4 linked regions of the Drosophila melanogaster genome follow. The protein of the gene in region 1 purifies or fractionates together with the protein of each later gene. This does not show direct contact. Each region holds a gene or a part of one and is shown in the gene's direction. Other genes may lie near its edges. The genes, in order: hzg, dah, Ras64B and babo.

The links.
Region 2: the proteins of hzg (region 1) and dah purify together in Drosophila melanogaster (affinity purification with western blotting; one study listed by BioGRID). This does not show direct contact.
Region 3: the proteins of hzg (region 1) and Ras64B purify together in Drosophila melanogaster (affinity purification with western blotting; one study listed by BioGRID). This does not show direct contact.
Region 4: the proteins of hzg (region 1) and babo purify together in Drosophila melanogaster (affinity purification with western blotting; one study listed by BioGRID). This does not show direct contact.

What each region holds. Positions count from the first base shown.
Region 1 is NT_037436.4:15,999,699-16,008,237, reverse strand, and holds the start of hzg (herzog), read left to right. Parts: upstream 1-3,501; 5' UTR 3,502-3,889; intron 3,890-4,163; 5' UTR 4,164-4,257; coding exon 4,258-4,339; intron 4,340-8,539. Other genes in the region: mib1 (mind bomb 1), read left to right, coding at 1-1,305, 1,365-1,505; mRpS31 (mitochondrial ribosomal protein S31), read right to left, coding at 1,688-2,324, 2,391-2,846, 2,911-2,948.
Region 2 is NC_004354.4:15,324,656-15,333,364, forward strand, and holds dah (discontinuous actin hexagon), read left to right. Parts: upstream 1-3,686; 5' UTR 3,687-3,788; coding exon 3,789-4,017; intron 4,018-4,080; coding exon 4,081-4,297; intron 4,298-4,354; coding exon 4,355-5,212; intron 5,213-5,276; coding exon 5,277-5,394; intron 5,395-5,456; coding exon 5,457-5,616; intron 5,617-5,678; coding exon 5,679-6,046; 3' UTR 6,047-6,347; downstream 6,348-8,709. Other genes in the region: Top1 (topoisomerase 1), read left to right, coding at 1-545, 620-870, 932-1,083, 1,161-1,263; CG9114 (uncharacterized protein), read right to left, coding at 6,372-6,832, 6,889-8,287.
Region 3 is NT_037436.4:4,137,479-4,141,898, forward strand, and holds Ras64B (Ras oncogene at 64B), read left to right. Parts: upstream 1-1,597; 5' UTR 1,598-1,700; coding exon 1,701-1,781; intron 1,782-2,428; coding exon 2,429-2,516; intron 2,517-2,572; coding exon 2,573-2,982; 3' UTR 2,983-3,920; downstream 3,921-4,420. Other genes in the region: Rop (Ras opposite), read right to left, coding at 1-1,336; Akh (adipokinetic hormone), read left to right, coding at 4,108-4,176, 4,245-4,415. UniProt on the Drosophila melanogaster protein: May be involved in endocytic processes and/or other transport pathways mediated by vesicle trafficking. May interact functionally with ROP protein. Ras proteins bind GDP/GTP and possess intrinsic GTPase activity.
Region 4 is NT_033778.4:8,949,146-8,957,534, forward strand, and holds the start of babo (baboon), read left to right. Parts: upstream 1-3,193; 5' UTR 3,194-3,826; coding exon 3,827-3,884; intron 3,885-3,957; coding exon 3,958-4,272; intron 4,273-5,588; coding exon 5,589-5,706; intron 5,707-5,813; coding exon 5,814-6,022; intron 6,023-6,567; coding exon of another isoform or gene 6,568-6,713; intron 6,714-7,883; coding exon of another isoform or gene 7,884-8,011; intron 8,012-8,389. Other genes in the region: CG33199 (uncharacterized protein), read right to left, coding at 1,561-1,611; CG8229 (uncharacterized protein), read right to left, coding at 435-1,442; Tom7 (translocase of outer membrane 7), read left to right, coding at 2,648-2,747, 2,857-2,921.

The sequences.
Region 1 (8,539 bases):
AACAACCACGTTGAAATTGCTGAGCTACTAGTGCATATGGGTAAGGCCAATATGGATAGGCAAAATGTGAATCTCCAGACGGCTTTGCATCTTGCGGTGGAGCGTCAGCATGTGCAAATCGTCAAGCTGCTGGTGCAGGATGGGGCAGATCTTAACATACCCGACAAAGACGGGGATACTCCGCTGCATGAAGCGTTGCGACATCACACTCTGTCGCAGCTGAAGCAACTGCAAGATGTGGAAGGATTTGGTAAGCTCTTGATGGGCCTGAGAAATGCTAATAACAAGAAGGCCTCTGCTTCGATTGCATGCTTCTTGGCTGCCAATGGAGCTGATTTGACCTTAAAGAATCGCAAGCAGCAGACCCCACTGGACCTGTGCCCAGATCCCAATCTCTGCAAGACCCTGGTCAAGTGCTACAACGAAAGGAAGACCGACGACTCTGAGTTGCCCGGAAATGTAGCTGGAACGAGTTCGAGTGCCAGGGCAAGAGCAGCCAGTGGTAGCTTAAATCAGTCCTCCTCAGTCAATATGCCGCTTTCCAGCCTAGCTGCCTCATCCACTTTCCCAGCTGCCTCATCATCTTCCATATTTGCCCTCAACGGCATCGCCAACGAAATGAGCCAGTCCCTGCACGAGGATCCTCCGAAATCGTCAGCCAGTCTTGATGAGTGTTTGGTTTGCTCGGATGCCAAGCGGGATACGGTCTTTAAGCCCTGTGGCCATGTCAGTTGCTGCGAGACCTGCGCTCCGAGGGTGAAGAAATGCCTCATCTGTCGGGAGACCGTCTCCTCGCGCGAAAAGATCGACGAGTGTCTGGTGTGCTCGGATCGCAGGGCAGCCGTCTTCTTCCGCCCCTGTGGCCATATGGTCGCATGTGAGCACTGCAGTGCTTTGATGAAAAAGTGCGTCCTGTGTCGCACGCAAATCGATGAGATATTATCGTTCAGCCTTTGCTGCGGAGGTAGTGGACGACCGGAGAAGGTGTCCGTGGCAGCTGGAGCGATGGCAACAGTGGGCTTGCCACTGCCCGACGATCGTTTCATGGAAGCTGCAGCAGCGGCAGCTTGTGCCAATGCCTCCGGCCATAGCGTGGCCATGAACAACACCGTGGTTACTCCAGTGGCGGGCAGCAGCAATCAGTTGAATAGCCAGAATAATCTCCTGGCCGCTGCAGCAGCCTCTTCGAATGTCTCGAATCTGTCAGCAGCTGGAAACGCGATGGTGGCTCCTTCCAATGTCAACAACTTCCAGATGGATGATGTCCAAAAGTTGAAGCAGCAGTTGCAGGACATCAAGGAACAGGTGAGCTCAAATAAGATTGAAAATATGTTCAGTGACTGATCCTCAAATTTATCTTATAGACTATGTGTCCTGTCTGCTTTGACCGCATAAAGAACATGGTCTTCCTATGTGGCCACGGCACGTGCCAGATGTGTGGCGACCAGATTGAGGGGTGTCCCATTTGCCGCAAGACCGTGGAAAAACGCATCCTGCTCTTCTGAAGCCCGTTCCCGGTTCACACATTCCGCGCACAGTCTGCACAGCCTTCGAAGTATTAGGATATTTAAAGGACTCACATTCTTATACACACATATATACACACACAATATCATATATATAACTATATATCGGATTGGTCTTATAAAGCAAAAATATATTTTTAACAAATATTCAAACAAAAACATTAAGCAGAAATACTTTTGCTTGGCTCCTTGCTAATCAGATCCCTCAGAATGTCCTTCTTGGCCTGGAAATAGTCACGGAACCAGAAAATGTGATCCTTCTTCTCCTGGGCAGTCAAGTAGGGATTCTTGGACAAGCCGACGCAGACGAGCTCCATGAAATGGCGAATAGGCCCCTTGCTAGGACACCAATCCTCGAGATGTTGTTCCAGAAAAATGTGTTCCGAGAAGTCCACGTTATGCTCGTCCTCCCAATCCTGCTCATTGTTGATGGGAAAGCGCCACACCTTCTTTTGATCCGTCCACAGGACCATTTGCTCGAAGTAGTTTGCCGGGGGATGGGAAGCTTGTAAACTAAGCTCCCGCTCACTCAGCTGTGACCAGGTTGAAAGGATGTCGTTGGAAATCGGCAGCTGGGTATCCTTGAAGATACCCAACGGTTCCCCGCCGTACAAATTGACACTGCCCGTAAAGGATTCAGCCTCTCGTTTGGTTTGCCTCTGTGACCGCTGATAAGCCCCATCTCGATTCTGTGGCTTGAATCTGGAAGCCAGCGAGCGGCGAACGTACTCGCCGCGGGTCTGCTCCACCTGCTGCGGCTGCTGACGACGATCGATCTTCATGCCCACGATAATATCACTGTTGTGTAAGGAAAATAAATTTTATTAGATTATCCATTAATGCGAGAAAATCATTTTTACACACCTCAGATTGAGTTCCTTATCACCAGAAGGAGATCCCGAAACATCCGCCGTCTGATTTTCTCCGGTCGCTGCTGAAGAGGACTCGCTTCCATGGCCAAGGAGTTTGGCCAATAGCTCAGACTCTGTCTGCTTCTTGTCGCTCTCACTGGTGCCCAGCATGCTAGCAATGTTCTTGGCCGCAGTTAGAACATTCTTGGCGGCTGCCTCCTGTTTCTGGGCCTCCCTCCGCTTCCTGTTGGCATCACCAGGACGTGGAAAGTCCGATGCCGAGAGCTGATCCGTGGCCTGCATGGTGCCCAACAGGCGGTTCAGCCGCTGGGCCGCCGTTTCCACAGGTTCCTCCTTCTTCTTCGTGGGCTTTTCGTCGTCCGAAGAGGAGTATCCATCGTCGTTTTTGGACTGCGAAGAGGAGTAGTTGACCAATCCCACGTTTTTGAAGGCAGACGGTAGCAGGGAACTGAAAAATAAATAGTCGAGTGACGGATTTCTTTTGGTTATTTCAAATTAGACGGGTGGCCTACCGTAGGCCCAATCTCTGGGAACTTCGTACGGCCAACATTTTATAATATTTCTTTGATAATTTTAACTAGAAATAAGACCAAAGAAATCGCTCGCGTAACAACAATTCGGCGGAGAGTTGCCAGACCAGATGAACTGTTTGCACTGCCGTTTAAGCTAGTTTATAGTTAAATTTGGCTTTATTTTATGTTTGGCTTCCCTTGTCCTATTTCTTATAGTGTTTTGATTGAAAATATCCTTAACTAACCTAATCATTTCATGGACATTTGTTTTTTATCTGATTTGATATAATTTGAAATAAAATGTTCTTAAAATTGCATTTTGAATCAAGAATTTTATAGATTAACTTGACCACAGTTGGCAGCCCAAATTGCACCAGATAGTATGACCTTTGATTATCGAATTTGGAAATCTATGAAAATAATTATGTAGTTCAAAACAAGCTCCTTTTATAGAATTCTACATTCTCCTTGTAAGTAATTAACTTATAATCAAGCCTTTCTTCAACCTGTGATTCTAAGGTAAACACGAAATGTTACCACTTTTTCTTTGCACTTGGTAATAAGTCTCGCATCCACCGCGGTCACACTAATCACACGTTTTGTTTTTTGCGCTATTCCTGTTACTTTTTTTCGACGTACACACGCGTTTTGTTATTTTGCGCGATTAATTAATGGCAAAAAATAAAAAAAATAAATAAATAACGAGACGAAATAACGAAAACACCAGCGGCCGAGCTAGTGTGCGTGCGAGAGTGTGTGTGAGTGCTGTGTCTGTGTGGGCGTTTATAAATAAAACGCTGCGAAGCTGTGTGCGAAAAGCAGACGCGGATAAAGAAGTAAAAGAATGAGCGCAACCAAAAACAAGAGCGAAGGAAAGAAAGAAAGTGTTTTTTATTGAAATTCGTTGAAAAGTTTTAAATTTACTAAAACAGAGAGGCGAAAGTGCAACAGAGCGAAAGAGAGAGCGATAAATAGCGAGGTGAATATCAAAGGGAAACCCATTTGCATCGAGAAATAAAACGAAGCGAACGGACGGCCAAAGCGTAATTGTAAAATTCCACTGTCTGGGGCAGGCTATCAATTGGTGCATGTGTGTGTGTGTGAGCTATATATACGTGGTAGATGTATTATATATGTACGACATATATACTGCACGACACTTACCATATATACGAAGAAAACATGGAATCATCTCGCGATAATTGCCATATCCAATGTATCTCTATCTCTCATGTGTGCGCAACATTTTGCAGCTATCCTATACGAAACCGATCTGAATCAGTATCTGAATCCGAATCCGATTTATCAACCTGTTAAGCGAAGTGGAGCCACAAACCGAGTGCTTAAATGGATGCAACATCAATAATAACGCAAGTTTCCCGCGACGACGAGCAACTGAACGTCTATCCCAGCTATCCCAATGACAAAGGTGAGAACAAATAATGGGGGCCAAACTGGGGAAATCGCTGAAAACGCAGTCCGCATACACATACATATATTTAAAGCTCCCTTCATGACTCATCGCCACTCGAAGGCGTCACAACAAAGACGAAAGGACACTTGTCCGCTGCCAAGAAGTTTCCCCCACTTACCAACCACCACCCACCATAACCTCCCAAAGAAGAGGGCCCAACACCCCGCTGACCTTTCTAACACACCCAATTGCGGTCAATATAATTGTGGGAATAAGTTAGTTGTACATATGTCGTACTTTCCGAAAGTAGCAGCAAGTTAAATGGCATTGGCCTTTTTAATTTGTACAGGAACCACTCCAAAAACAAACTGATGAAAGACAAAAGTGCTTTTAATTCGAAAAATATATTCAAACAACATGCAATTAACTTGTAGCTGGAAAAAGTTGTTCAATTCTGTCTAAGCTAAATATTTAAATTAACGTTAGCTATTATCTGTTTGCACGACTGTGACCAGTTTGCTGTACTTTCTGTAATTTGAAACCAATTAAATGGCAATTTCTTTTCTTTAATTGGGAATCTAATTTCCATTTTAAATGTCTGTACTTTTTCTACTTTCAAGGTAGACTAGGAGTTTGAATTTATAGACACATTATTGTGTAAAAATCAGACTTATGTTTTCTTAATAGATTGTTCGACTTTGATAACTGTACTATGCTAGCAAAAATTACCTTTAAATATTCAAAGGTATCAATTTATTAATCAAAAATGTCCCCAGTCATGCATTTACATTTAAATAAATGGGCTTGCACAGGTTTTCACTGCGATGAATAACAATACTTAATAATAGTGTTATTTTCACGCCAGTTGTGCCTGTCTGTTGTGTTTGTTTCGCCCCTTTTTTATTCAGCACACAGTGTTTTCTTGTTCGTTGGCCATTGTGAATGATCTAACCACTTGCTGGCTTCGCTTTGTGGTTATTGAATTATTTTGCGACGCAGTTGCAACTCTGCCACCAGCCAGCCACCACCCACCGCCCATCGCCCAATTGCCACCCACTGGCCCACTCCCACCTGTAATCAATTGATGACGTCTTTCGGCACATGTGACGTCATGGAATTTCGACACGAAAGCCTTTACTTTCCTCCCATCTTATTTTCTTTTCGTTCGCTTAACTGCCTAACTGCCTTTGCATGTTTACTTTCGAGGGTCCAACAATAGAAACTGCCAATTAAATTGCACACTAAAAAGCAAGGTAAAAAACGTAAAAAAAAGTTGAGAAAAATACAGGAAAACCGGTATAAAACGAGAGATAGCAAGAGGGAGAGCACAATCAAACTAGTTGTGTGTGTTGTTTTTTACAGTGATGCAAACAAACAAACAAGCAAAGCAACAGACGAACAACAAAAGCGTAGCTTAAAGGTTGCGATATGGTTGTAATGAATGAATGAATAAATGAATGGTGAGAGCCCAAAGAGAGCGGGTTAACTATGTACATAAGAAGAAAATGCGATAGAAAAGTAAAGATTAACCACATTATATTTAAAATACAATCCGAGACATATGTATTTATATCTAACAAAAAGAACAAAATCGAATGGTCAGTGGTATTAATTAAACCCCGACTTTTGTTGTCAGAAGTGCCACTTACGTGACCAAACTTAGCCATTCGCTATCATTTCCATATCGAAATGATACGAGCATCAATAAAAAAAAGTGTACTTGACCTAAGACTTAAGATTTTTTTTATTTGTGCAGAGAGTGAACAAATAAAAAAAAAATAGGAGGGTGGGGCCGACTGAGCGCAAAAAAAAACGCGATGAACGCTTTAAAGTAAAGTAATAACTAATTTAATCTAATCTGCGGTCGCCGCTGCACCTTTTATACATGTGTCCACACACATGTACGGGCTACATTTGGTATATTATATACAAAATATTTGCGGTTAGGTGCTAATCGACGTCGCTCGCTCACTTTGATTTCGAATTTGATTTTGATTTTGATCGACTGTGCTCACAGTTTGCCGCATATGAATGTCTTTCTTTATCGATGCGCCGATCTATATGTGTCACCAGTAATAAATACATATTTATGTATATTGAAAATCGCTTCGGGAGCCTACATCTTGAAATCAAGTTATCCCCCATTGCATTCCAAATAGGGATCTATGCGGTTTCTACTAGTTTGAGCTTTGGCCAAATGAGAGAGCGTGAGATAATGAGCAAAACGTCACCGTAACTGTATGTACCACACTTGTGGTCAAGACTGTAGTACACTTACAAAAATTTAATAATTTCCAACTCGCTATCACAAAGTTTGTGTTTAGAATTGTTATGTGCTTGCTTCGTTTTTTAGTATGCGTTTGATTTCTATGTTAGGTCCATTATGAGTAAGCTAAGTATGTGTATTATCATAAAATAGAAGCAACAGTGGGTATTTTTTATGCTTTTCAAAAAAACCCACTACTATTATTCTGATCTCAGCTGTTTTTCGTGAGAGAGCGAGTGGGTGTGTGGGGCGCCTGTGCGTGCGAAAAGCACGGCAATAGGGGCAAACCGGCAAGCGAACAGCAACAGTTGAAATATGTTTTTCTTTTTTATTTGAGAGTGGGTGCCGCCGCCTAAGTGCTTTTTGCTTTGCCTCACCGCGTATAAATATTTATATAGATATGTATGTGTTCGCCATACCGCCAAACCCCCCCCTGCGCCTTCCCGCCCCATGGACTCCCCCTCGCTTATAAATACATCTATATTGTTTTTATGGGCAAACGCAAATGCTCTCTAGTATCTCATTTCTAGACGCCTCAGCTGAACTGCTGTGATTTTTCAATTTTCTCAAGGTCTTGGAAGGCAAATTGCTTGTGCACACACAGACAGTGCGCTTTTCTTCGATTTAACGCCCTTTCTCAAAAATTTATTATTTTTCACATTTATTGAGGGGGGTCTCTAAAAATAGCCTCAAATAATGTTAAATTAAAGAGTGCGAATTGAGTTCAAAGATCTCGTGCATAAACAAATTTCGGAAAATGGGGAAAACTGGATCGGACCGAATGCTGAAAATTTTACTGCGGCACGCTGAAATGTTTATAATTTTTATTTCATAAACATATCACTTGTTCTAATATATAGAATTTTTTTTAAATTATTTCATTTATTGCTGTACACCGAAATTAGTAACGTTAAATTCTATAAACATTTGTTGTACGCTCTGAAATATTTATAATTTAAATGTATAAACATTTTATATTATGCAATTATTAGGCAGATCCAAAAATAACTAAACGTGAAGGTAAATTACGAAAATTTAGTTATTTGATTGTATAAACGAACTCGAGGTTTTTACAATTAATGCGCTAGCCCAAAAATGGTTAAGTATTAAGACGCAATTTTAACATTAAACGAACGTTGTTTATACTATTTTATGAATAAAATCTATTAAAGGCTATTGGATTTTGTTTTTAAGGTATTTAGTCTCAAAATGTGCATTCAAAATCCCTTTAATTGGCTAAATTGGCTATTTGTTGTCTTGCAACAATATTCCCTCTATCTAGAAGTGTATCTAAATTACGACATAATGGGCTCAAAAATACACGAAACAGACAGTGAACAGATGCAGATGCAATGCTTAATTATTGAAAAATAATATTATATACGGCACAAGATGAGCGGACTGCGTGCAAATGATTTGTGTGCTGCTATTTCCTATATATGTACATACATACTATTGCTCACAGAAACAGAAGAAACACTTTAGAAAATGATGCCTTTAGCTTTTCATTTTTGAATCGATAAAGGTCAACGAGTTCTGTACAAGGAGATTTTATCTCCATGGTTAATATGGGTTCGTTGAACTACGATGGGGGTTAAATAAAGGCCAACCCCCAAAAAACAAAGGCGGGATTGGGGTGCTGCAAATTTATACAGCCATCTTTACGAGGCAGATAGGAAACTCAGTTTTCAAAAATTCTAAAGCAGGTGTAACAATTGATACAGTGAGAAAAACTGTTTACTTTCCTTACCCTTTTTATTTAAGTAAGTATTTAAAAAATAATTAATTGATCAACAACATTTAATTTGCACAGTTAAAGCATTTCATTCATTTTTCCAATATTTACTGTAGCCATTGACACTTGTTTCTTGCCCATTTATATCACGTGCCATTAACTTTGTTTGCCGTCTTCTTCGGTGCGGCTTAAATTTTAAGCTGCCTCTATCTTG
Region 2 (8,709 bases), on another chromosome or scaffold:
CTGGAAGGAGGTGCGCCACGACAACACGGTCACCTGGCTGGCCTCCTGGATCGAGAATGTGCAGGGACAGGTCAAGTACATCATGTTGAATCCCTCCTCGAAACTCAAGGGCGAGAAGGATCACATTAAGTACGAGACGGCGCGACGCCTGGACAAGGTAATCGATAAGATACGTGCCACCTATCGCGACGAGTGGAAGTCCAAGGAGATGAGGGTTCGCCAGCGAGCGGTGGCCCTTTACTTCATCGACAAACTGGCGCTGAGAGCAGGCAACGAAAAGGACGAGGATCAGGCCGATACCGTGGGCTGTTGCTCGCTACGCGTGGAGCATGTCCAGCTCCACAAGGAACTGAACGGAAAGGAGAACGTGGTGGTCTTTGATTTCCCCGGTAAGGACTCCATTCGGTATTACAACGAGGTTGAGGTGGAGAAGCGCGTCTTTAAGAACCTCGAACTGTTCATGGAGCACAAGAAGGAGGGCGACGACCTCTTCGATCGTCTCAACACGCAGGTGCTTAATGAGCATCTCAAGGAGCTGATGGAAGGTGCGTATTTACAAATTATCTATAATTATTTTTCAACATACTTACTCGTCGCTTTTTATTGGCCAACGCAATAGGTCTCACGGCCAAGGTATTCCGTACGTACAACGCATCGAAAACACTGCAAAGTCAGCTGGATCTGTTGACCGATCCGAGCGCCACGGTACCGGAAAAGCTGTTGGCCTACAATCGCGCCAACCGTGCCGTGGCCATCCTCTGTAACCATCAGCGTTCCGTGCCCAAGAGCCACGAGAAGTCAATGGAGAATCTGAAGGAGAAGATCAAGGCCAAGCGGGAAGCCATCGAAAAATGCGAGTCCGAGTATCATGTAAGTATATTCGAGAGGTTCTTCCGCTAGCAGTATGTTTAATTGTTATAAACCAATGCAGTCGAGAGACGAGAAGAAGGGCAAACAGCTGGAGCGCCTAAGGGATCAGCTGAAGAAACTAGAACTACAAGAGACTGATAGAGACGAGAATAAGACCATTGCCCTGGGCACATCTAAGCTAAACTATCTTGATCCACGCATATCGGTGGCTTGGTGAGTGGTCTCTCCCTTCAAGCAGCACATTCCACTCAACGAGAACTAATATATATATATATATCATCCATTTGCAGGTGTAAAAAGCATGACGTGCCGATTGAGAAGATATTCAACAAAACGCAAAGAACCAAATTTCTGTGGGCCGTTCATATGGCCGATGAGAATTATCGTTTCTAAATGGGTTCTCCTCACAGCCACGCCTAGACACAAACACACAAGTACGCCGACCCTTCCTCCACCCACCACCACCCCTTCAGACACACACACAAACACACACTCGCACCCGATCGAAGAAGATGTAACAACAAACCACACCCACCACAAGGCCGGTTTATAAATAGATTCCATGCCAATCCCGCCATTGTTTGGTCCACAGTTTATGCAATTGATAGTGCATATGTCCAGCTTTCGGCCAACGCAATGGGGGATTGTTAGCCAAAATGAGCGGGACGGAATGCTGCACTACATCGTAGTCGTGGAACCGCTTGTACGCGTCCGTTTTGTCTGCTTTGAATGGGATTAATGGGATCAAGTGCATACTACGCCGAAGTCTAACTTGCGAAATGTGCACACCCAAACACAAGCTAATCCAATATATGTCAGTTTTATTCATTAAAGGCAAGAGGAGATGTGAAACCTGGGCAAGACGTCGCCGCCACCTAAAAACAAATCAGGAGCATAATTTTCTATGTCTCTACAAAAGAACTTTTTTGTCAAGATACCCTTATACTTCATAATTTTACATATAAAACATATATACATATATATATTTATATTTATGTATATAATAATATTTGTGTATATATTTTTATTTTTAATATAATACATACATTTACATAAATATATATATATAGATATATATATATATATAAAAATATAGATGTATATATATATCTATATATATATATATATATTTAATAGCAAAAGCAAACGAAAATTATACAATTTAAAACGCAATTTTTTTTATGTTTACCTATAGTTGATTTTGTTTAGCGAAAACAAAAAACAAAAACAAAAACAGGCATTTGTACATAACAAGCCAGCAATTAGTTACCAAATTAGATATTAACTAAATTAAGATATAATAACATTGTAAATAAATATAGCTGTAAGCCCCGTAGCTAATGCTATACTATCTAAGTTAGTCTAGTTTTGTAAACTATTCTATCTATCATAATAATAATAATAATTTGTATAAGTGCAAACTGAACAGAGAAACCTTGTAGCCCAACTTTTAGCATAGCATAATTTATTCAATTCAACTCTGAAGCAGCGCTATTTGTCGACCGACCGCCCCCGAAAATGAAGAACAAAGCCACATTGGATGGATCTCGATGTGGTTTCGCTTTGATTTCGTACCTTATGATCATTTTAGTTAACATTTCGAAATATACAAATGCTAAATTGATTTGCAGACAGACCCTTAACTTTCTATACTCTAAGCAGACAGGTTTCAAGTTCTCAACCGCAAACCAAGCCGCCATCACACTGAAAACCAATTGCAGATACAAATCAAACGAGCAATTCAAATAACTCGATGAACCAAAACAGAAACACAGCCAGCAAACCAGTCGCAGCGAAAGAAAGAACTTTAATCTGAAAGAAAGGAACTTTATACATATAGAATCTATAGAAGTATGTGCAATTAAGTGAGCTAAAACTATACCTTAAACCTTGTAAAAATCGAGCCTTCACTTGAATCCTTCAGTCGACGAGAGCAGTGGATTCAGGTGGAGTTAGGAACATCCCCAACATCCATGTGCCCCAATCCCATCAGCTACGATTATGGCCGTACTTTTAACTAAGCAAATCGATGGAAATTTATATCTCGCCTCACGCCCCCCCTAGCATAAATGGCAAACGCGCATTGCAAATGAAGAGCGAACGATCTTTATATACATACATATAAACACACACACACACACGCCCAAACACATATTATAATTAGTGATTGATATAATGTGAACGCAAACATCTGTGTGCGTTTGTCGTGGATTCGCATACGGAAGCGGGAGAATGCTTTTAAAAGGCAAAAAAAAAAGTTAAATAAACTAATTACGAACCCTTCTTCGAACGCCCAGCCCCGCCCCGCCCCGCCACAACACTCACATATAAACTTGGCATATTATAATATTGATATAAGCAAACAAAAAACAACAAGCGAAATGATAAGAAACCCACTATTTTAAATCGAAAGCAAAGTAAATGAAAAACAAAATAGCATAAGTGAATGTAATTGCAATGGAATGATGCAAATATACATAAAATATATATTTAATTTTAAAATCTATGTGACACTCTTTCCATTTCCTCGTTTTGGGTAATTATTCGCATTCAAAAGAAGGGTTTTTAAATAACTTTGTTTTGTTTTTGAAATTGGGAAAATACTATGGTGAACCCAAGTTGTTCAGTTTACATTTCCCGTTGCTCAAACTTATTTACCAATTATTATATCATGGTCAAATATTCTTAGAACGAACGGATGACTTAATTAATGATAATAATAATTTTGAATCAAATTTAAAGCGCTAACGGTTCGGCGAAGTGATATCGATAACACGCGCGGCGTTGCCACCTCACGCCACACAATTTGACTTTTGCGCTAACGGAAGAGGAAGAGATCGCGAGAAACGACGCGTTTAAAAGAGACTGAAATTAATTCGAGAATCAAGGGAAATATATAACAATAAACGCCTGACAAAATGCTGAGATCGTCGGTGCCCGTGCAGCTGACAAAACTGCGAAATAGCGCCGAGGCCGTGGCGTCCATTGCCCGCGAAAAGGGATCCCAAGGTGGCCAAGGACAAAAGCAACAGGTGGACAAAGAGCTATCCACCATCATGGATGACTTGCAGCGGGATTACGGGAATTACAAGTACACGGTATACCGGTGCGCCAGTAAATTTGTGGCGCTGCAAAAGATATTTCACAGTGAGTCAGTCGCGTAGGTGGTCCATTCGAAGGAGTCCCCAAGGATTAACCTTCAAATTGCAGCTGGAAAAATCCCCTACAAGCTGGTTTTGGCCATTTTGGATCGCCATAACTTGAGTGGTGGCCTGGAACTGATGGTTCCTCCATTCCAGTTGACCTCCCTGCTGCACGATGTATACTTTGCCTGCGAGAAACTAGGCCATTTCAACCAGGATGCGAACTATAAACTGGACAGGGCAACCGGGCTGTTGGCCAACTTCTTCTGGAATGTCTACGATCCGTGGGTTGAGTTTCTGGCATCTTAAGAATATGTCTGATATTTGATTGGTTTCGCTAGGCAACGCAGACACTCCATATCCCTGTTAGAGATCAGGATCACCTTCATACTGCTGTGCAAGCTATATAGCAGCGATCACCTGGTGGGCGACATCTTTGGCCTGCTGGCCGATCCCAAGTCGCAGATCATCTCCAGATATGCATTCGAACAGCTCCTAGCCACGCTGAGCAAGTTACTCAGCTATTTGGGCGAGGCCAAGGCCTATGGCGTCCACAATCTTCCGTTGGCTATGGAGCAGTGCTTTGCCCGCTGTCCGCATGGCGTTGGTGGACTGACCGAGCCGCAGTTCCACAAACTCTGGACGGGAGCGGGTGTCCAGACGAGATTCCTGATCTATGGCAATCTGCTGGCACTGGTGAAACGCATCGAGGACACCGAGCATTTGATTCACAGTAATTCTTGTGCCGGCTGCCGCAAGGAGCACATTGTGGGCATACGTTTCCGGTGTCAGGTGTGTAGGGATATATCGTTGTGCCTGCCCTGCTTTGCAGTGGGCTTCGCTGGTGGTCGCCACGAGCCGGGTCATCGGATGTGCGAGGTCTTCGTGGAGGATCAGCCGCCATTGCGTTGGACCCGCCACCTGGCCAGGCTGTGCGGCTGGCTGGTGATGCCGCGCAAAACACAGGAGGAGGAGCGTCGCGGCTTCTGTAATGCGCAGGAGAGTGGGCCCGCCTTGGGTCAATCCGCTGCCACGCCCATTCCCGCAGAGACGCGCAGTGTGCGCAGTCAGTGCCAGGAGAAGGACCGCACAGTTGTCCTGCAGCAACAGCAGCAGGAGCTCTGCTCCCTGACGGGTCTAGCCAGCGAGGCGTCCAGCAGGCTGCAGTCCATCATCGATCGATTGCTTTTGCAAAATGCGTGGGTGTTTTCCCTTCTTTCGCCACACTTGTTAGCCAAGCCTTAAGGTTCTCTTGCATTTCAGGAAGCTGGAAACCCAGCTGCAAACAGTGGCCACCGCATCTAGTTCGGAAATATCGCAGTTTCTGAGCGCCCATCAGTGCTTTCTGCTGCAGATTATCGAGGATATGCGACAGCTATCAGTGAGTTTTCCAAACATTCGGCCCATTTAAGCTGAGCTAACTCCATTTATATACACTTGCAGCATGCCTCAGCGGTAACTTCGCCGCCACCTGCGCCAGCTGCCCAAGTGGCGCCTTCAGCTGCGCCCCTAGTCAGCTCCACGTTCCTTAGCTCCAGCACGCCTCAGCGACAGATGCTATTCGACATGTATGCGCCCGTGGGTGCCAATCTCACGCACTCCAGTAAGAAGAGAACCTTCAACAGAGCCATGAGACAGCTCCACTAAGTTAATCGTTTCTTGTAGTAAATGGCGCCGACTTGAATCGCAGCTATCTGGAGGCAAACAAATCGGATTACTCGCTCAACGACATAAGCTTGTGGTTCGACCAGCGTCGCTCGAGTGTCCAGCCAGGACAAGGACCTGGTTCCCTGCCGGCTCCTCTGCCGCTGCCCATGCCGCTGGGTGCTCTACTGGAACAGCAGCCGGCAAACGGCGGAGATGGCCGCGACACCGAGATGGTGAACTTTAAGCTGCTGCTGCACAAGGTCAAGGAGATCGTCGAGGACTCGTACAGCGATAATGCCGAACTGTCGGCGGCCACGCAAAATCTGGAGAACGTTCTCGATAGCATCATCAAGAGCGAGGAGCAGCAGCGGCGCATCAGCACGTGAGGATCCGGATCGGATACCAACTCCCATCGATTCCAGCCAGACCAAGTCCACTTAGCTTTAAGTTGTAAAGTTGTTCTAAAGTAATCGTGACAAAATGACACAACCGAGTCATGCATTTATTATATCCTTCTTCCTTTTCCCATGTGCTTTAACATTCGCGTAAATGCTTTAATTTGTAAACTTACAACTCTGACAAGAATGCAATACAACAAAATGTTTTTATAAAAATATACAATGCAAAAAACACATTGTTAACAAAGCATTTACATACAAAATATCAACTTTGTAGATTTTCCAATGCAAAGAGAAGAAAAAAAAAACGCATTTACGCCCCATTGTCATCATCATCATCGGTGAATAGCATAGAAGCCAACACATCGCTGGCCATTTGTGCCTTGTGGAGCTGCGTCAGCTGCTCCCGGCGCTGCTCCACACTGGCTGCCGGCTCACTCAAAACCTTCCAGGCGTCCATCTCCTCGAACAGACTGTTTAGCAACTCCATCTCCATGTCGGCAGGCGACATGTTGTGCTCAGCGACCTCTAGCACATTGAGGTTGCAGTGCAGCTGGAGGAGATCGCGCGTCAGGCGATGCAGTAGCAGACGCAATCGATCGTCCGTTCTGGCGTACACATGCCAATGCTTTCCGGGATCGTCGCGAAGCAGCAAGGTGTCACACCACTGTGACTGCGGCTGGCGATTGTAGAAAATACGCTGGACAGGATCGGCGGCGATGTTGGAAGACTGAAAGTGAGACCCAGGCTCACTGTCGTCCAGCAAGTCGGAAGCTGTAAGGGATTATGAGTTAAAAGGGACAACAAGTGGTCTTGACAAAGCTACTCACTCGGCTCCTTGTTTGCTTCCTGGGCTTGGATCAACTGAAACTGCAGCGTGGAGACGAGTAGCTGCTCGAATGTCGTGCAATCCTGGGCCGACTGGAACTCCAATTTCAGGGAGCAACGTGCCGTGTGCGTCATAATAACGGCCAAAAAGTCTTGGTGCAGCGTGGCGGGCGAAAATGTGGGTGCCAACGATTCTGTTTTATCGAGCAGTTTCTTCACATCGAAGGTAATGAGATGGATTTGCCTAGGGGATGCATCCTCGCCCATCTCGTACGTTGCCATCAATATGAGTTTCTCTGCCTCAAGAAGATCGACCAGACGCAGGCTCACTACCATCGCGGCAGATCGTTCCGGCGGTAGTATTCTTTCCTTCTCCACCGGTCGCCATTTGAGACGCCTGCTATGCTGATCCTGGCAGGCCCAAAACTGCGCCAGCTGGTCGTAGTCCTCGGGTGGTTGGCCATCCGCCTGCAGAGGCAGCTCGTACAGGCGGTGCTCCACGCTAAAGTCGGTGTGTGGTTCGATTACAACAATCGGATACAACTCCTTGACTATGGTGAGGCGATTGGTGCCAGTTATGTTGACTAGCAGAGTGCCACAAACAAAATAATCGCCGCAGATCCGAGTCCATACATCGCCGAGTCGTCGGAGCGGCTGCTTCTCCTCAAGGAGCAGCGAACGCTGGCCCGGCGTGCCGAAGTATAGAAGGTCTTGGACGTGGGCTAATTCCTTCTGGTTTTGCATTCGCTGGCTGTCGAGCTCGGCTTGGGCGCGGTGCACCTCCTGCAGCAGGTTCTCGAAATCCTTCGCGGGCAAGCCCGCATTTTTGGACGTGCTGGGCTCCTCATTTAAGAAATCCTCCTGGAAATCACAACGCTGACGCTTGCCATTGCCGAACTCCAGTTCCACAACGGCCTGGAAGGAAATGGGACCTTCGACCATCTGGTAGTCCACCACATCCTTGTGATCCGCCACCAGTTCGAAGTTGGCCCCGTGATCCTTGGGCCTCTTTAGGACGACGAGATGCTTCCAGCACTGAATTAACAGGTAGATGCCCTCCCGTTGCCACACAAACTTTCCAAATTTGAGGGGCAAATCCTCCGGCGGATCCAGCATGCTCCAGTCCACCTTTTCGTCAGTGGGTTCCTGCTTGGACAGAAAGGGACAAACCGGTCCGTCGTAGGCCTCCAGTTGGGTGGCTATTTGCTTTAGTTTCGTGACCTTCAAATCGATGTAGTGCACCAGATCCTTGCGCCGGAATTCGTAGAACTTTAGGTTTCTCGCTAAAACCAATGTAGTGGGGTCATCCCGCGGTCGGCCCACGTGAAGATTGGCGCAGAAGGCCAACCGGGCCGGCTGGAGCAGCATCTCCGGCACATTCTCCTGGACAAACGGCAGCATGGATGCGGAAGCCACAAGATGGATGTGGCGCCCTTGACTCGAAAGCCCTTCGAATCGATAGCTATTGAATTCAAGTAGTAGTTATCGATGCGGTGAACGATATTAGGCTATTTTGAAATGGAAAAACCAATATTAATCGAGTTTCGAATGCTCCTTTTAGCGAGAGGTAAGTCTTTAACACCGCATAAACACAATCAGTGTTGCCTAACCAATCTGTGCCCTCCACTTTCTCTCATAATCAAGCAATTTCTCATAAAAAACGCACATCGATAAGCTGATAACGTTGGCCCTCGACTAACACCGATTATTCAACAAGTTGTGTCAATCGGCGGAGCAGCTGATCGTTGTAAGTAGCAAGAAGAAGACGCCACACAAACATTGCACTCCGCTCCGCCCGCGCGTTCTCATTTCCCATCTCTCTC
Region 3 (4,420 bases), about 12 Mb from region 1:
GATCCTTCGGCGACAGCTGGGCATGCGTAAACAGCTTGGTCAGGTTCTCCTCGGAAATTCCGTTCTTGATCATGACGTACAGGGCAATGATGCGAACCTTGTCGTAGTTCGAGACATTGGCGTCCAGCAAGATGGGCACAATGTTGCGCATATGATCCTTGATCTTTTCGCCCTCGGCGTCCGTGCCCATGGCCAGATCCTGTTCCACGCGGCACAGCTTGTCCACGTAGTTCTGGTACGACTTCATGCAGTCCTCGGCCAAATGCAAGTGGGTGGAGTACTTGGACAGCTCCTTCTGGTACTGCGGCATCTTCTTGATCATCTGCGAGAGATCGCGCATCGACGACTTGTCAGCCGAGCCCATGCGCTTAGAGTCGGTGAATTTCTTAAGGTTCTGAGTCACCTGGGTGGAGACCACAGCGATATGCTCGTGACGCAGCTCCACCCACAAGTCGTCGTTCTCGTCGAGCAGCACCTCCTTATCCGGCTGGTTGGGGCCGGGCGTGTAGCGATACACGTCATTGACGATGGGTAGCAAATCGTAGGCCATGGCCTGCAGGGTGAGCTCGTGCAGCAGCGGCGACACGCAGTCGAAGCCGCGATCCAGGATCAGCAGCTGGGATCGTGCCTTCTCGGGGCCCTCGCCCATGGTGGCATCGTCGGCCTTGTAGGCGTCCAGCTTCTGCTGCACCGACGCGGCCAAATCGATGTTCCTGTCCCAGTCGCTGCGGTAGCGCACATTTGGGTACTCCCCAAGGGTAGCGCACAGTGTGGCTATTTGCTCGGCAATTCGCTCGATGTGCTTGCTCCGAATGGAGGCAAAGGCCGGCGAGTAGAGGCATTGGAATGTGTCCGGCGAGTCCAGCGAGAACACCTGGCATTCGTATGGCAAAAATGCAATGTTGATCTCCTTCAGCGTCTTGATCTTTCCGGCCGCGCACGACTTGCACAGATCGTTGAATAGCTCCTCGGGACAAACTTCGGTGAAGAAGACATGGGCATAGCGATACATGGGCCGCGCTGGGTTCTCGAAGTCTCGTATCAGACCGCGCACTGACTCATCCGACGGCGTAATCAGATAGATCGCGTCCATCGTGGGCAGCGGCTCGCGCTTCTTGTTGATGTCCTCAACCAGGGTGATGCCCTCGGCGCTGATTTCGTGCATCTTGGTGCAGGCGGACACCATGCGCATACCCAGCTTGTCCACCACCAGCACCCGCCATTCCATGCCGCCCGCCCCCGCAGCGGACGTAACGCCCTGCTTTTTGGGTGGTGGAGGCTTGTACTTCACCACCTCGTTCATCAGCTTTTGGCCCACCAGCACTTTCAAGGCCATTTTCACTGCGTTTTATTGGTCACGGGCGCAAAGGCAACTCGATTATGAACACACTGCGTGTAAATATGTCTTTTTAGCTTATTCCGTTCGCTTTTTCGCGTGGGCTAACTTGACTTAAAGAATTTTATCTATTCCTTGGCCAATTTTTCTGTATTTTTTTCGTTTGATGACTTAGCCTTAGTGATGGGCGAAAGTCGATTGCTGGCTAGCGATAGTTGATATCGATATTACTGTCTAGCAGAGACGCGCACCCGTCTCAGTGCGAGTGTGGATTTCTCAGTTAACCGAGAACGGTCACGCTGCTGCTGTCGAGGAAGGAAAATAAAATAATTTTGCTGGCCAACTGGTCGATTTAAACGGGGAAATGCAGATGCAAACGTACAAACTGGTGGTCGTCGGCGGCGGCGGCGTGGGCAAGTCAGCGATAACGATACAGTTCATCCAGGTAAGCCGCCCAGCATCGGCCCAATCCCTGGTGACGTCGCTTTCCACAGGGGCGTTTGAATGTGGGAGTGGGGGGCGATGGCGCACAGGGGCGGTGGCAGGGGGACGGCCCTTGTTTTGGCCAGAGCAACAAACAAGCAACAAGCGACTGTGATGTGCGTCTGTGTTTGGACATGCGTGTGCATAGTTTCGGGCCGAGATCATCACCAACACAATCATCATCATCATCATCATTGGCAGCATCATCATCGCGGTGGCCACACCCCCGTGTGTATCTCCAATTGGGGATCAAGTGGTCAGAGCCCAGAACCAGGGAGTTGCGTTAGACGCAGCCCCCAGTTTTCTGGGTGTGCCGATCGATTCCCCGAGAGTTTGTGCCATGGTCACGACCACAATGACCGCCCGCTTCCATTTATTTTTAGTCATTTGCGTCATCTGCACATCTTTCGTGTATATGCTGTAGCTTTTCCCCAAGATATATAGAGCATAGTGGATAGTGAATGATAAAAGTGACGTGTGTAAACAAATCAAAGGCGGAATGATAAACGCACCCCGCCCACATAAAAAACCCAGTCTTATAATGTTTATATATGTAGTTTTGTGGCCTCGGCAGCTGGCGGTACAATAATTTTAATCCTAATCTTGCAGAGCTACTTCGTCACGGACTACGATCCCACCATTGAAGACTCGTACACGAAGCAGTGCAACATCGACGATGTGCCAGCCAAATTGGACAGTAAGCTTCCTTTCTTTACCCTTACCAGATTCATAATAACCTGATATTTTACCTAGTTTTGGACACGGCTGGCCAGGAGGAGTTCAGTGCCATGCGGGAGCAGTACATGCGCTCCGGCGAGGGATTCCTGCTCGTCTTCGCGCTCAACGATCATTCCAGCTTCGATGAGATCCCCAAGTTCCAGCGCCAGATACTGCGCGTCAAGGATCGCGACGAGTTCCCCATGCTGATGGTGGGTAACAAGTGCGACCTGAAGCACCAGCAGCAGGTGTCCCTGGAGGAGGCGCAGAACACCAGCCGCAACCTGATGATCCCCTACATCGAGTGCAGTGCCAAACTGAGGGTCAACGTCGATCAGGCCTTCCACGAGCTCGTGAGGATCGTGCGCAAGTTCCAGATCGCCGAGCGTCCCTTCATCGAGCAGGATTACAAGAAGAAGGGCAAGAGGAAGTGCTGCCTGATGTAGAAGGAACTAAATGGAAGAGAATCTCCTGAATGCCGCAGCGGAAGCAGGAGCCAACATATAATGATTATAACACCAAATTTTTTGAAAAACACGCGTCGACTGAGCTTTGAATTCCGTTGAGAAGACGATAAACCAGTAACCCGAAACCAGTAACCGCACAAAACGTGTCAACGAGCCCAAACGAAGTGCATTTCTTACCTGCCCAGGTGCATGGCGCATTCAACGAACGAATCGAATAAACTTCGCCACTCTCAAATAGCTACGAAGAATCTTACAACTGACAACTAACAATGCAAAATGCAAACAGAAACACGAAACATAGGTAGATATATACAACAGATTCACACGAATAACTTATATATACATATATATTTCTACATATATTTTTGTAATATTATTTTGTTGATCAACGACAACAATTAAGGACGAATGTTTTCATGATTATTACCAATCGTGGCTCGCAGGCCATTTGTTTTTATAATGCAATAACTAAGCCCAGAACGTTTGTTTCGATTAAGCCAAAACGTAATAATGTGTTATTGTAATTTGTATTGTTATTTACTACTAATATATACGTATACATATATTAACTGCTTACAAACCGATTTTGTTGTAACAAATTGAGTGCCTCGTTCTCGCGCGTAGAAATCTAAAACATCAAACTCTGTATTACACCCACGGCATTTTTGTACTATACCCGCAGCTGCCAGGCGCGCACAACTCACTTAACGATACTTTTGTACATGTCCCCAGTCGGATCCGGATCCTATGGTTTATTGTTCGCCAAATGTATTGCAACAGTTGCTTTAGCCGCAATCTTGTTTTAACTCTTATACACTGCTTAATTTAACGAACTTATTTAATGGTATATAAATAAATATATAATTAAATTTAAAATTAAACATATGCGCAATTCTAATAAACACATGGAGAATCACAAACGCTTCCACATAGAAGATTGTTTCAATGACGCTCTCGACTGGAATTGAAAATTCCGACCCAATCCAAGCAATTATAGAAAGAATCCTTGCTAGTGCTGTGTTAATTACTTACCAGCTGTCTTCCCTTCGAGCTCAATGGGTATAAAAGCGGGCTGAATCGAAGTGGACCAGCATAGAACTCAGAATGAATCCCAAGAGCGAAGTCCTCATTGCAGCCGTGCTCTTCATGCTGCTGGCCTGCGTCCAGTGTCAAGTGAGTGAATTCATATCCCGCTGCAGGATATCCCTTTCTGATGTCTCATTTTATTTTCCTCTATATAGTTGACCTTCTCGCCGGATTGGGGCAAGCGTTCGGTGGGCGGAGCTGGTCCTGGAACCTTTTTCGAGACACAGCAGGGCAACTGCAAGACCTCCAACGAAATGCTGCTCGAGATCTTCCGCTTCGTGCAATCTCAGGCACAGCTCTTTCTGGACTGCAAGCACCGCGAGTAGATAGC
Region 4 (8,389 bases), on another chromosome or scaffold:
CACGATTATTGAACTGATTGCAAAGGGTCGATGTAATGCCATATTATCGTGACTGACATCACTATCGCAATCACTGTCACAGCGCTTAGATGACGTTCAACTGCATTATCAGTCAGTCTCTGCAGCTCAACAGCTAATCGCGGCTTGAAACAGATCTCCGCGTGACGCAGTTGCCACGACCTCCTTTCCAAAGTTCACTTCCACTGATAGCACGCTCTCTTGTCGGCAGCGCTATCTCTCCTGTCCACTTGAACATGCTCTAGACGCGTGCCGCGAATTAGTAATCCACAATTTGAGTTGCCAAAAAAAAAAAAAAACATAGCGTAACGGACTTGTTTATAAATAAACGAACTTGAATTCTTATCCGGAGGTTTCATGCATTATTTCATATGCAAATTTATTTCAAATACTTGAGTAAGCTAAATGCCAGCCTATTACGTCCGTGGTGTCGTAAGTTTCGCTTCTGTGGTGGTTTCCAAATGCTCGATCAAGTGCATTACATCCTGTGTGCGAATGCCCCCCCTGCTGGTGGTTCCCTTGGCCAGTCGCTTAGGGCGTCTCCCTACGCCACGTAGCGCGGGTTTGGCTTCTGTGGAATGGCGTTTAATGGCGTCTAGAAACAAGCCGTTCATTCCCGTGTTTAACTCCGGAACACTGATAATAATATTGACGGCAGGCGGCGTTGACGGTGGTGACTGACCTTGCGGCTGGGTGGTTGCTTTCTTGGGCGGACTGCTGAAGGGAGACCCCTTAGATTTGATGCTAGGAGACATCCTCACACTTGCCTTCACACAAGCGGGTAGTAATGGTATTTCAGCTTTGCCTTGCCAGCTTTGGGACGTAGCTCCCTTCAGATGAGCCACATGTTCCTTGGCTTTGGTGTCCTCAGTTTGTACTGCTTTTGCCTTGGGCGGACTTATTAATCTGTCGGGTAAGACGACAGTTGAAGGTACTCCCAGCTCTGATTTCAATGCTTGTGGGGGTTCCTTGCATACGGTACTGTTCTCCTCCAGAAAGCTTAAGTCGGGAAGCTCCAGTTGTGGGCAGGGTTTTTCCTCTGAAGGCGAGTGCAGATTTGGCATGGAACTGGAACTCACATTTGTCTTAAGGGGGGTTTCTGTGGCAGAAGTCAATTGCTGCAGCAGTTCCAATATAAATTCGTCATCATTTGGAGGAGGTTTGGACGTTAAGGCCGCAGGGTGAGAAGGTAGCGTAGCAGCAGGAGATTCAAAAAGTTCAGATTGTGGAGCAGTGATGGGAAGTGCTGCCTCCGAGTTCAGATCTTCATCAGAGGAGACCTCATCGTTGTGTGGCCACAAACAGCTCCTGGACTCGCACTTCAGCAGCTGCTCCTCGAGATTAATGTAAAAGTAGCGCAGCTTGTGATTCCTGCCTTCACTCTGGCACTCCAGACACTCGTCTCCCGGCTGCAGTCGCTGCATTCTCAACGACGATTGTGGTGGTCCTTGGTTTGCCCGGCCGAAAAACTCAGAGGTTTCCCCCAGAATGCGCATGCTGTTTCTGCCGTTTGGCTGCCTGGTTTAATGTGCGTGTGCTCACCTGACCGAAGGTTAAACGGAAAGCGTACAGGCCGAGATTGCTTGTTTTCATGGTCCGTTCCAGTTCCAAATCGAGCAAATCGGGACCTGCAACAGTAGTAGACACGGTATCCGGTTATTCGAGCTTACATAACATCAATTGATTTTTCCCCGACTGCGTGCGCTTTGCTCTTGTTCGCTCATTGCTGGCGTTCTTTATCACTTACGTTTCGTTTGGCAATGGGAACTTTAGTGCTCGGCGCTCTCTGATTAACCGCGATTGCAGGTGCAGCCGATTAAACCAGCAACGTTGCTAAAATTTGGCGAGCAAATGAAAACCAAGAAAACTAAACGATCTAGAACTCATGTGAGTAGCGGGCAAGTGCGAAAGGGACTCGAGATTAGAGATGGGACTTCGAGTGGCTGCGATAGTATCGATCTACGGAGCACTTGCCTGCTGCGAGAGATAGCAGGGGTATTTTTTATTTTTATGCTTCATATTGTTAAGAAATCAACGAAAACTTTGAGCGTTAAAAAGAAGTTTCCTTACTTCAAATTCTTGTTGCATTTCCAACGCTTTCAGAATTTGAAACTTTGGAAATGTAACATCTTTAAAGTTGATGGGAGTACACATGCAAAAATATTGCGGGATCATTAAAAATACGAAAAGGTATTTTTCAGACCAAGCACACTTTTTTCTTTTCATGATATGTGTCCAATAGACAACTTGTCGGTGAAATGGTAGTTAAAAACCTTTATAGTGGAAAATATAAATTAAAGAATATCAGATTAAAACCCAAAGGGCAAAACGGTGTGACCGTTTTAGAAGCGAATTTAAATTTTGCGCTCAAATGTCAATGTTGCCACACCAACAGAAATCTGTATTCGAAATAATTTTACTGATTCTTTAAATTGGTAAATTATTTCAGGCCCAGCAACCTGCGACAAAGCCATCCCAAGAAAATATAAATTGAACGAGTAACCTAACAAAAAGTTTCTGTCAGCTGTTTTATATCGAAAAAAGTGCTGTTTTCCAACACTTCGTTTGCAGTCAGACAAGTTATCATTTCATAATTCGCAAAAGGAGCTAAATTCAATATCCGTACGAAATGAAGCTATCCGAGGGAGTTAAGGATCGTTTGGGATTTGTGGTTGGAGTCGTCCAGACTGGATTCCACTGGGGATTCGTGCCTCTTGTGCTGTATTTGGGTAAGTTGTGGTTCATGTTTTTTGTAATCTACACGCGGCTGGGAAGAAGAAGCAGCGGGGTAATATCAAATGGACCGACATTGATTTTGACCAATTCTCATTTTCGCAGGATTTATGAAGGGAGCTGAGCCTGGCATGCCGCCTCTGAACCTTTTCAGTCTGTTATGGCAGTAAAAATAGTGGACATGATCATTTTGCTGTCGTATGCCCCGCATTTTGGTTCTGGTTGGGTTTCTGGGAACGGGTGCAGTACCTGCAGCTATTGCAAATAAATATCTGTTACAAAACAAATCGAAATTTTTTTATGTATCCTGGAAACAACCAATATTTTAACAAAAATCATTGTCCATAAAAACATAACCGATTGGGCATTTTTACGCACTTCTCTAGCGGGTGGGTGTTTTTCATGGGCAGTCCAGCCTGGGCACACTACTGCAGGTGCGGTCACACTGTTTGCAAATCCACACACACCAGCGCGGTTTTTCGCTGCACAAAATTGTACATTTAAGAAAAAATAGCAGCAATTAATATAAACAAACGGTTGCCCCAGACACCCGAAAGTGCCGGCTGTCCCGCGGAATATGAAATAGTGCCACTTCCCCCGCGCCACTGCCCCAATCACGTGATGAAAATCCGCCTGAAAAGTCGCCCTCGTCCGTGAAATGTAAAGCAGAGCAGAGCAGTTTTTCCAACCAACTTGTGCGGAGTGTGGAGTTCGAGTTTCGCATTGCGGGCCCCCATCGAGATTCGCTAATTGTGAGAATCGCCAGTCTATATTCCCGGCCATGCCCCCGCCAAATGTGGGAATTCGCGGGCGCCTGTCCTACGCGATAAATGCGCAGTTCGGGGCCAATTAGTGGCTGTCTGAGGTGTCCTCCTGCCGCTCCTCCTGCTCCTGCGGCCCCGCCTCGTCCTGCCGCGAAACAACAATCTCATTTGCAGGCCACAGACTTTGAACTTGCGACGCGCGTGTGCGTGCGTGCGATCGTGGAAAACAAAAGAAAAGCTCTCGGGCTGCACAAACAATAACAATAGCTCGGGTCGGGTCGCACACACTATCGTCGGTGCGAATAGCCAACATGTTATCTGCGCTCCGGCTAATCTTCCTGGGCGCTCTGCTCGGCGCCTCTGTTTGCGGTGAGTGTACCCCCCAGCGGTTCCATTAATCTGGATCAGGTGCGAAACTAACCTAAAATCTCCCCCGGTGCAGCCTCCCCCATTGAGTTCGTAATGGACACCAGCCTAAATGGCTCTCGATCTGATCCTGCGACTGCAACCCACCCTGGCAAATGGCCACCGACGACCAAAGCGCCGGCGCTCAGGGCTCCAGCTGGAACAGCTGGACATGCTTATCAGTCGCCATCGTCGTCGCTGGCCGCTGATAACAGAAGCCACGACAACAACAACGCTAGCGCCGTGTCCATGCTGCTGCCGCAAGACGGCGACGCATCTGGAGCTGTGGCCCCTGCTGTTACTCCCCAGCTGCCCATCTACATTGCTCAGCCTAGCGCGAAAAAGCCAGAAAGTAAGTTCCGATTGCCTAACGAGAGTGTAGAGCACACTGCGGACAATGCACCCCGAATTATCTAAACAACAAGAATGTGATAGATTTACAGACTTGTTCCGGTATTGCCTTGCAAACATTTTACTTGACTTCAGTTAACCAGGAAAGTCAGCACAGAGTAAAGGTCATTTTACTTCCCTTTTTTAAGGTGAAATCCATTATTGGGAGAAGATAGAAACCGCTTAGTGGTTATACCTTACTTGTCCGATATATTGACATTTTTGTTGTTGTTGTTTAATAATTAAAATATCTTACCAAGGGTTACTTAATACTTGGCGATCTTTTCGATGCCATAGGGATCTTTTCTCCGTGTGTATATCGCGTGACTGTAACACCTCAAAGACTCTGAACGCTTCTAAAAGGCCGTCTTCGTCTGCGCCTGAGGCTCCGATTCCGTTCCCATATAGTGACGTCACCTCTCCGTGGTGTCAATGAGCTGAGCCAGACAGCTCTCATGGCCCACTCCAACGCTGCCTGGCTGCAGACACCCCCACGTCTGGATGCATTTGCTTGCTGCACTTGGGCACTTGCAACTGCAGTCGGTGCAAAAAAAAGCAGGCCTAAGCACTGGCACTGGCTTCTCGCTGTCCGGGGGAAGGGGAAACTGGTCGCATTGTCTGGCCCTCCACTTTGCACTTGTCTTCTCCGCGTCTGCTTTGTTAATGCTAAATGGTTTTGTTTTTGTTTCATCACGCTCTCGGCGGTGTCGGTGGCGGTAGATGTGGATATGGTAGTGGCTATGGATGTCTATGTGACTGTCTGGGCGAGCGTGTGCCCGGCCAGGTGCCCCGGGGGCATGGTTATGGCAAATCCCAATTTGTGGTCAGGAGATGCCAATCAGCGAGTGGTTGATTTATGGGTCTCTTATTTCTCTAATTAGTTAATTTCTGCCAGCGCCTAATTGATTGATTTGCTTCAATCGGAGTCGGGGCATTTTCTTAATTCGAGAAGTTTGCTACTGCTAACCTATGCTTTTGCGTTTTATTTGTTTAAATAATAAGAAAATCATTAACCGTGGCAAATGAGGCGCGGACCTCTTCCTTTGCTTACCTTTCCACAAGTAATTAATATTCATTAAATATTACAAGAAACACGTGCTTGGTTAGGATCACCTACAAATAGTGAAGATATATCGTTAAGCGAAGAATAAGTTTTTGTTGGTGAGTCGGTTTAAAGTTAACAAATTTTTGGTAGGAATGTATGGATTTGATAGTACTCTAAAGTTTGGTTTTTTGCAAATAGATCTTTATATTAATTTTACCTTTTATGTTCTGCAGACAAGATAAAATGCCACTGTGACACGTGCAAGGAATCGAACAATATATGTGAAACGGACGGCTTTTGTTTCACGTCCGTGGAGAAGAACTCTGATGGGAGCATCATCTTCAGCTACAGGTGAGTGCCGAGAGCCTGAGGAGCAGGCCTTTGATTAGGTTAGCACTTGCCCCTCAGAGCAGCCAGTGTGAATATGTCTGATACGATCGATCTATCGAGCGATGCAGATGTCTGCACAAGTCTCAAATCTTTCCGCCGGGCCGCTCCATCTGGTGTAACGACGGGCTGCACGGCGGACCAACCGCCCGCCCAGTGGGTCGCAATGGCGCCCACGCCTGCTGCAAGGACAGGGACTTCTGCAACCGATTTCTGTGGCCAAAGACGAAGGACCAGAGGAGTGATCGTGTCGAAGAAGGGCGGCAAATCTCCGTCCAAGGTGCGTGCGCTTATGCACGTGTTTCGCTCCCAAAAACCCCTCCTCTCTGACTGCTCCCATTTCTCTGTTCACTCGCACGCCGTTCAACAACCAGTTGCCCAGTTTTGATCGTTCTTTGGACTGTTTCCCCCACTTATGCTCGTTGAGTTGAAGTTTTGAAATGATCATAACCCCAAATGCAGAGCACTACTAATGATGACCTGCTGAAAACCAGAGCGGCGTTACACACACTGTAATCAATATAATTATAATACTCTTCTTGCTACTAACCAGACTGCCACTTCAATTAGCAACAAGCCGAAGGCGGCAACAACTACAGCTGAATCAGAATCAAAATCAGAATCAGATGCAGCAGTAGCAGCATCAGCAGCAACCAACAACCAATGCCAAGCAATACTAATTTCGTATAATTGTTATTTTATTTTCTCTATCTCCCGATATTTCCTTCGCTCCCTTCGGCTCCTCCACTCGAATGAATATATCGAACTTATCGCATTATCCCCGCTCGTTCACATATTTGTGGACTGTGCTGTACGGTGACCCAGTTGCATGGTTGTCAAGTACAATATGCAACGGAGTAAGCCCTTCGAATGCCTCACCAGTAACGAAAGGTTCGATACGTATAGGATTGATTGCTGTAAGAGTGATTTCTGCAATAAGAATGAGATTATGAAGAGGATATTTGAAACAGGTACAGCCGCATTCAAGTAACAAAAACCACACAACCAACAACAATACAATTTCTATCTTTAGTTTGCACTCCTTCTCTAATTCACTGCGCCTAATTAGCACTGCATCAATATGATTAATAGATTAATTATAACAATTCAATAATCTGTAACAATAATTTTTGGTTTAGTTCAGTCTGTTTCCCCTCAGGTGTGCACACCGCCTCAGTTTTCCCCTTAGCTTATTACATATTTACTTTGACTACTTGCACTTTTTCGCTTCTCGGACTCCCACCTCTTCTTTTCTTTTTATTTTTCTTTTTCTTTACCTTTCACTTTTTTCTATTCTCCCTGCTTTTCCGCGTGGCACAAATACACACCATAAATCTTATACGGAATCCAGCCTACAACACCTTATCCTAGTAAATTACACGTATCCTTATGCATGCCAAAGTATCTTTGTAGTTTGTAGAGATCAGAGCTTCCACTCAAGGGGTGAATTCGATTCGTCCTGGAAGCACTCCCACTCGCCTTTCGCTCGCGATGAGGTTTCTTGCCCTCCTTCGCGGGATGTATGTGGTTTTCCTTGGATTTATTGTTTTTAAAATCCCAATTTTCGAGGTTCCACGAATGTTTTCAGCTTACGAAAATCTTTAAAAAAGTTTATGATGTACCTACGCTGTTTTTCCTGGTTTATTGTCTAGCAATGTATGGTTGGGTTCCGATTTTCACTTGGATTTTCTCCTGCTGGAAGAATAATAACAAAATTGTGTGGGAAAGTGAAAAACGGAACTGTTCTGATAAATTGGTGTAAGAGTAAACCCGAACTCTCCCACATTTGGCAGTGGCTCCCTTCCATATTCCCTGGTATTTTTTGATGACCGCGACCGACTCCGCTTACTGCCTTTGCACCCAAAACACAATTGTATCCACCTGCTGCAGCTGACAAACCCACCCCAACCCTTTCCTGGCTGAGCAACCACCAACAAATAAATAAATAAAGGGCTGCTGCTAAAATTTAGCTCGTAAGTGGTAACCAAAGCTGCTTCGCAACTGCACACTGCAACAACTACAACTGCAACAAGAACAAGAAGAACAAGTGCTAATCTCCTACGTAATTTAGTAATGTAGTACTAAAAAGCTAAAGCAAACTAGTAGATAAAACAAACCCCAACTAAATATTATGTATGTAGATGCATAACAGACCAGTTGCCACCTGAAGATCCTACCTCGTGCAAGTTAAATTCGGAAGCGGGCTCTTCTCAGTGCTGCGCCGAAGATTTTTGCAATACGCGTGAGAATTACAGTGGTGTCCTACCAGGTGAGACCAGCAATGCACCGCCAACACCGCCCAACAATTCAACAATTCAACCACCACCAGCCATCGAAGCAGCCACGCCCATGCCATTGCACCACCTCATTTGCGTAGTTTTTTTTGGTATACTCAAATTTGTAACACATTGATTTCACACGAGAAACACATACACGCATAAGCATACCTGGCTAACACACACCTTGCACACCCACGCTTCCAGCGAATCACCCTATCCCACTCCGTCTTCGTCCTTGTTCGTCCTTCGAGGGGAGAGTAAATATGATAAGTTTTCGTTTCGATGTCACAATGAGTTTTGAGTTTGGTAACCTGTAATTGAGAGCTTTTCGAGGAGCACAAAGCACCGAGAAAGCAAAATATATCTTT